Coturnix japonica: one gene and its partner. The protein of the gene in region 2 purifies or fractionates together with the protein of the main gene of each other region. This does not show direct contact. Links are inferred from orthologs where the notes say so. Each region holds a gene or a part of one and is shown on either strand. Other genes may lie near its edges.

Region 1 (3,409 bases), on a different chromosome or scaffold from region 2:
CCTCAGCCCAGCAGTGGTGCCGTGGGTGCCCCCCACACCACAAGCAGCCTCCAGCCTGCAGCGCCATGCGAGGGGAGGAGCAGCGCCCTGCTCAGAGCTGCTGCCTGCCACCGGGCTGAGCCACGCAGGTGCAAGGCAGAGGGCCGGGCCCATCCAGATGCCTGACAGCGTAGTCTGCCTTTTTTACAAGGCTGTGTTTGCTGGGGATGGTGATCTCCCCACCTCAGCTGTAATTTCGTACTTCATGCTTTTGTATTCTGTACTTTCATTTCAGAATGAAACTTGAGCAGTTTTGTTTTTTTTTTACTTGAAGCTCTAGTTTTATAGCCCTTCCTTTATACTGTACAGTATTTTGTATGTTGAAGCTCCTATTAAAGCTCTGTTCAGTTCCATTACCCTGCTGGCTGCTGTTTAGTTTGCATGCACCCATCCCAGGCAGAGGCAGCAACGTCTGCCCTGTGAGGAGGAAAGGGGTCCTGGCTGAAGGCAAGTTAGTTGTACACCGAGAACAAATTATGAAGTTTATTTATATAAATTATGTCTCTTAGCAGACAGCATTCAATTTATTGCACTAGAGCACATCTGCAGTACGGAGCTACAAGACATCGTAAGAGAGTTTTGTATTATTCAGTGTAGCACTTTAGACCGGGATCAAGAGGCACTAAAGGGGGGAGGAAGGGCGCAGGGAAGCAGCAAGCAGCCACCACCATCTTCCAGTATTTTCTTTTCCTTTTGTTACCTATTTGAGGCCAGCAGGCAGCAGAGACCCAGGGGCACACTGCCCTCCATCGCCAGCCGGTGGAACAACCAGCATTACCAGACCACATTGCTGCAGTTCTCAGGTACCCTGCAGCAAGAACCGCAGTGACAACAGAGATGGGGCCATAAGGCAGCTCAGCATCACCCCAGGAGCCCCTGCTTGCCCAGGACAGGGGCAGACTGTTGCCATTTTTGGTTTATCAACTTTGGTGAGCTGCTACAGCCAAAGTTAGCAGCACTGAGAACGGCCAGATGGGCTTAATGCTGTCACTACGCAGCAGATGTCCCTGTTGTACGGTCTGCGAGGGCACAGAAGAGCAGCTCGGGGCTCAGCACCCACCTGCAGCACGGCCCAACAGCCCACAGCTGCTGCTAGAGACAGCACAGCCCAGCACACAGCAGGTCCTTGCGCTGCCACTCAGATAACATGAACAATACAAAGCTCTGGTTTCAGCCTTCACGTGAGGGAGGCCGAGTTGTTGGAACAGAATGAAGGAACCCAGGGGCAGGGCTGTACTGAGAGAAGCCCCACAACTGAGGAGGGAGGAATGCTCCAAGTCGAGAAGAGAGCTTTAATCTACAAATACACCGTAGTCAATAAATATGGCAGGAGAGCACGGACCGAACTGGAATAAGCACAAGGTGATCAGGTAACACCTTCCTTCCTACTTTATACTCATGCAGTGCTGTTAGAGCACCCCAGCGAGCAGTCAGATCAGATGGGCAGGGGAAGCACAGCCCTCGCACCCGCATCCCTTCATTCTGTTTTGCACTACACTGGAAAGACTATCGCTCACAGGGTGAAGCATGTTCTTCTGAGACATCTGCAAACAGCAATTTGGTGCAATACTTGATTTTAGGCCTTCATGAGCGCTGCGACCACAGCCTTGGCGTTAAGGCTACGCAGATCACAGTAGGTTTGTCCAGTACCAACAAAAACGATGGGTTTGCTTGTGATGTAGGTCATGGAGATGGCAGCGCCGACCTGCCAAGGGGACGAGCACCATTAGCAGGGCCCCAACACCTCCCCACCACCTCTAAGAGGGGTCATAAGTGGCCCACTGAAACCAGCCCCTCTTTGTTGACTACTCCTCTTTCCCTCCTGTCACCAACAGGAAGCTCTGCAAGGCTAAGGCTGGTGATAACACCCAGAGCATGAAACGCTCCCCTTACCTTGTCATCGATGGTATCAAACTTGGTGAGCACAATGCCATCAATGAGCCGGGGTGTCTGGGCCATGGAGTGGTCAGCCAGGGCCTTGTTGAATTTGACCTGAGGAAGAGAACATCCTCAAGAACTGAAGTTGTGATGCTGACCCTGTCTGAAACACCTCCCATAAAACCTGCCCTTCCCAGACAGCAGCTCTGAACACTCACCAGCTGATCCACGGCCTCATTTCCCACCAGAGCTTCTCCAACGAAAAGGACCAAGTCAGGAGCATTGACAGCAATGAGTTTTGCCAGAGCTGTCATCAGGGGGGCATTGTCCTGCATGCGGCCCGCTGTGTCCACCAGCACCACATCGAAGCCCTGGTTACGAGCTGGGGAGAAGGGGAGAAAGCATAGAAGTAGGAGGAAGCCCAGGGGTCCCAGGACAGCCCCCTCCTGCCCCCGGCTCCTTCCTACCATAGGAGATGGCCTCCATGGCGATCCCCGCAGCGTCCTTCCCATAGCCCTTCTCATAGAGCTGCACCATGGTCCTCCCGCCGTGGCTCTCTGGGGGATGCAGGGCGTTGAGGCGGCGGGTGTGTGTGCGGAGCTGCTCCACCGCCCCGGCACGGAACGTGTCACAGGCAGCGATGAGGACACTGAAACCATTCTCGATGAGCCAGAACGAGATCTGTGACCGGCAATGGAAAAGCCCTGTTAGTGGCCACAGCCTGAACTCAGTCCTGGCCCAGGAGCCGCCAGCACCGTGCCCTACCTTGGCCAGGTTGGTGGACTTCCCAACGCCATTGACACCGCAGAAAGTGACCACGTAGGGCCGGCGGTGACGCTGCGCATCCATCACGTCCCGCAGGACGTCCACACGGCGCTGGGGCTGCAGGATCTGCACTAATGCCTCCTGCAGGGCCTGCTTCACTGTTGAGGTCACAGCTGGGGAAGGGGAGATAAAAGGAGAACTTGTCACTCCTGGAAAGCCCTGAGCCCCAAATCACCAACACGAGGAAACCAGGAAGGCATCTGGGTATCACAGCTTCACCAGGTCAGGGAAGCAGGGGACTCAGGCCAGCAAGCTGCACAACACCAATAAGAACACAGCCAGGGCACAACCACTTACTGGTGAACGTTCCCATCACTTTCCCTTCCAGTTTCTTTGCCACTGATTCACAGAGCTGGACCGCAATTTCAGCTGCCACATTTTTTGCTTTGGGAGAAAGAGAAGAGAGCAGGGTCATCAAACCTCTAAATTACACCAGTAAGACAAAGCCACGCACAGCAGACCCACACGTACCAATCAAGTGATCTTTCATCTTCTCCAGGACTGGGTCCATGTCCTGTCTTGTCAAGCTCTTGGAGCCCACCAGGCCTTTCAACATGCCAAACATACCTCCGAGGCCACCTTTCTTTGTGCTGCACAGAAGCAGAACAGTTATCTTAGGTGTGAGCTGCATAATGCAAGCAACAGCAAGCAGCAAGGAGGCACAAGA
Region 2 (3,989 bases):
CTCTGCAGGAAAAGCTGTACGGATTGACCACTTAAGCCTGTCTAACGATCTCTAGCTCTTCAAGTGGTGCTTTTCTCCTAAGCTATTTGACGTATCTGACCTACGAATTCTTCCAAAGGCTGCTAGAAATGTTCTTGCTGAGTAGTCCAAGTCTACAACTAAATTTCTGTCTTCATTTTGCTGAAGCCCTGAAATTCTGAAGCCCTAAGAAATTCACCGTGTGTGGTGTAACACTATAATGTGATAAAAAACAAAGCAATGACAGCAGGGTAGCAAAGTCCCAGGCTTCAGCAAGTGAAGATAAGCCCCAGTGCAGCAGCCATAGACACAGAAACAAAGGAAAAAAAAGCTGCTTATCTGCAGGCCTCAGGTAGGCAGGGAGCTCCTCTCCAGCAAGATACCCCCTCCTCTCCACTGCCAACCCTTAAATGAGGTCTGGGAAGGGGTGCATCCTGGATCCACCCCTTGCAGCCACTCAGGTACACTGCATGCACCTGAGCTGCCCTGGGTTGGCCCTGCCTTCCATCAAGTGCTCAATCACTGCTTCAGGCCATGGCTTAGCATTTCTGCTACACAGGGCATTAACTCTAATAATTATTCGAGGACCGAATCACCACTCCCACCTGCAGGGCAGCAGCCAATACCTTGTTTATTGCAAGCGATCAGCAGCGCAGGTGCATTTTTGAGAACAGTGCTGTCAACCAGGACCTGGTACAGGAACTCAGCCACATCCTTCACCTCCCGCTGGAAGGCTACGCTGTCCACCACAAACACAATGGCCCTGAGAAAAAGAACACATGTAGGATCATTCTGTAACACAAAAAGCAGGTCAGCAGATGGGGACTGAAATACATTTCGTATTGATATCCAGCAGGAAACCCGTTCCCCTCTGTCCCAAAGACATACTACATGTCCTAAGCCTCCCCAAGGCAGTGCTCTGACTCCCAGGGCACACACAGCACAACCCCTACCTGGCTCACTGCACCCTCTGTGTCTCATCCCTGGTACAAACATCAGCTGGCCCCACCAGCGCCCCTGTCCATCTCCACATTACCTGGCTGCAGCCTTGAACCTCTCCAAGAACTGAAGTCGCAAGCTTTCGTGGCCTGGGAGGTCGATTAAAGTCACATTAGTGCCCTGGGAACAGAAGAGAGGAGGTGTTAACAACACTTACACCAGGAATAACGGCAATCACACCCCACAGAAAACCAATCTGGGAGCAGATTCCAGTCAGCTTGTGCCAGGGCAGCAGCACATGAGTGAACCTCATGCCGGACAGAAGTGTGTAATCCACCCCATAATGCAATCTCTCCACCACCCCCAAAGATTCTGACAGGCAAAGGAAATAGCTGAGGAACAACACTCATGGACAGGACTCTGTAAGGACGGCCAACACCAGCAAACCATGCAACAGAGCTGACTACCAACCACATCACAGCATGAGTGACAAGCCTTTGTGAGTTCCTTGGTCATTACACCAGCAGATTTACTCTGTCTCTGTTATATCTCTGCACAGCAAAATCACAAACTCCTGTTCTGCGCATCCCTGGTGCAGAATAATAACCCCACAATCTCTGAATGGGAATTTATGTGAATTCAAGCTGCAAATCAACCTAAATACTCAAAACACCGCTGGGAATAGCATAAGAACAGCCTTGCAAGATGGTCTTTGAATCAAAAGCAGTGAATGTTTCTCTTTCCACAGGCTATTAGACAGAAAAAGCAGTGATATGAAAGAGAACAAATGCCTCTCACATGCTCCTAATTGAGATGTAGCCACTGAGGGCCACATCAGCATTCTCAGGGTAACATCTGTTGTTACTGAGAGGGGGGAGGTTTCATAAGATCCCGTCTTCTGGGCTGCTTTTGTGTCTTAACACAAACTTCCAACCAGAAAAGCAGCATCCCAGCACCTCTCCTTCAAAACATCTCCTGTCTACTAAGTCCCAGAGACACAAAGAACTCTGCAGTCCTTCTGACTGCTGTTAATCCCTTGCTCTTACTGTCTTTAATAAAGACGGTTAGAGAAAAAGGCAGCAAAGCACCCTCTGCTTTCACACTTCACCAGCAGACACCATGCTGCCACCTCGTGCTTCACTGCCACGTGTGAGCCCGGCAAGAGACAGAAATGCTTCTGAAACTAAAAAGATCACCACAGAACAAAAGTAAACCAGGATGTGAAAGGTAACTGAACCCCCCTGGGGACTTTTTCCTTTGCAAACCTTTCTACTCCAGCTCAGCCATTCTCCCTGTGCACTAACTGAAAGCTGTACCATAGGTACAGGCTATGGGAAGCCTGCAAAGCACAAGAGGCACGAACGCTCACCTTGTCGTTGCTCACTCTGTACACAGCAGCGCTGTCGGTGATGGAGGTCTGAGTATCTCGGTACCTGCCCGTCAGCAGCTGCGTGGGGGAGAACAACCCTTATAAGCACCCTAAAGCCGCACGTATTGGACTGAGCAGGGCCCAGCTGAGCGCTCACCCGTGCGAACAGCAGCGTCTTCCCCGCGTCGCAGAGGCCCAGCAGTAACACAGCCCTGCGGCTGCTCCGTGCGCCCTGCGCGAGCCTCCACAGCACTGCGGGACAGAGGGAAAAGACACTGAGCACCCGCCGCTTCCCGTTACCTCCTCCCCCCCGCCGGGCAGCGACTCACGGAGAGTGAAGGCGACGACGAGCAGCGCCACGAGGACGGAGAGAGCGGCAGGGCCGGGAGACTGCAGCTCCCGCCGCAGCGAGTCCAGGTACGGCTCCACGGCGCCCGCCATGATGGCCCGCGTGCACACGTCCACACCGCCCTGCTTCCGCTTCCGGCTTCTTCCCCCCCACCAAAACCATCATGGCGGCGTGATGGGGGCGGGGGTGGCAGGGAGAGGTTGTGCCACACAGAGCACGGCACAGCTCCATGCACAGCTCCATGGCAGTGAGCACAGCCTAATGCTGGAGCTCAGGGAGCGCTGGGACACTGCTATGAGACATTGGGTTTGGAGCTGATGATCCTCCTGGGTATATCCTCCTTGGGATATCCTATAGATATCCCTCCTTAACAACACGTACACTTTCATGGAGGAAATAACACCTGCTAATTGGGATCTAGGGCATATTCAATCCATTTCGCTTCGAAACAGATTGAATGGGATTTCTCTCCATCAGGAGAGGGGTGGTCAGCAGGGATAGGGAGGTGATTGTCCATCTCTACTCGGCTCTTGTGAGGCCCCATCTGTTGTACTGTGTCCAGGTGTGGAGCCCTCAGTACAAGAAAGACATGGAGATTTTGGAAAGGGTCCAGAGGAGGGACAGGAAGATGATCAGGGGGCTGGAGCACCTCCCCTATGAGGACAGGCTGAGGGAGTTGGGTTTGTTCAGCCTGGAGAAGAGAAGGTGGGGTGACCTCACCTGCAGCCTTTCAATACCTGAAGGGAACTTACTGCCAGGAGGGGAGTAAACTCTTCGAAAGGGCTGATAATAGCAGGACACAGGAAATGGTTTTAAGTTAAAAAGAGGAAGATTTAGGTTGGATGTTATGGGGAAGTTCTTCACTAGGAGAGTGGTTAGGCCCTGGAACAGGCTGCCCAGGGAGGTGTGGATGCCCGTCCTTGGAGGTGTTCAAGACCAGGTTGGACAGGGCCTGGGCAACCTGATCTAGGTATGTTTGGTGGCCCTGCCAGGCAGGGGGTTGGAACTACATGATCCTTGAGATCCCTTCCAACCCGGGTCATTCTGTGATTCTGTGATTCTCTCATGGGCAGCAGGAACCTCAAATGGCATTAGCCAAGTTGGTGCCTGACACTGGTCTGCATCAAAGGGTGCTGGGGAAGGAATGTGTTTAATGACTTGAGAAACCTCAGGAAACGCATTTAGATGTTGAGATTTTATTTCTTGCTGTGGCAGGAGCAAAGAAGCCACGTTCAGAGTGATGAGGAAGGGCAGAGGAAGCAGCAATGGCAGAGGGCCCTCTGCACATCAGTGTTCTGTGCGGGGGGCACCGGA

The links. Proteins that work in one complex are often made in the same cells at the same time.
Region 1: the proteins of SRPRB (region 2) and SRPRA purify together in Homo sapiens (affinity purification with mass spectrometry; 6 studies listed by BioGRID and IntAct, counting the BioPlex papers as one, with this or other methods). This does not show direct contact. The link is inferred for Coturnix japonica from reciprocal best matches to the Homo sapiens genes SRPRB and SRPRA.

What each region holds. Positions count from the first base shown.
Region 1 is NC_029539.1:318,425-321,833, reverse strand, and holds the end of SRPRA (signal recognition particle receptor subunit alpha), read right to left. Parts: intron 3,333-3,409; coding exon 3,214-3,332; intron 3,127-3,213; coding exon 3,040-3,126; intron 2,856-3,039; coding exon 2,683-2,855; intron 2,599-2,682; coding exon 2,385-2,598; intron 2,300-2,384; coding exon 2,136-2,299; intron 2,032-2,135; coding exon 1,933-2,031; intron 1,745-1,932; coding exon 1,616-1,744; 3' UTR 508-1,615; downstream 1-507. UniProt on the Homo sapiens protein: Component of the signal recognition particle (SRP) complex receptor (SR). Ensures, in conjunction with the SRP complex, the correct targeting of the nascent secretory proteins to the endoplasmic reticulum membrane system.
Region 2 is NC_029524.1:3,492,316-3,496,304, forward strand, and holds the start of SRPRB (signal recognition particle receptor subunit beta), read right to left. Parts: upstream 2,804-3,989; 5' UTR 2,768-2,803; coding exon 2,656-2,767; intron 2,579-2,655; coding exon 2,484-2,578; intron 2,405-2,483; coding exon 2,327-2,404; intron 1,138-2,326; coding exon 1,055-1,137; intron 782-1,054; coding exon 645-781; intron 1-644. UniProt on the Homo sapiens protein: Component of the signal recognition particle (SRP) complex receptor (SR). Ensures, in conjunction with the SRP complex, the correct targeting of the nascent secretory proteins to the endoplasmic reticulum membrane system.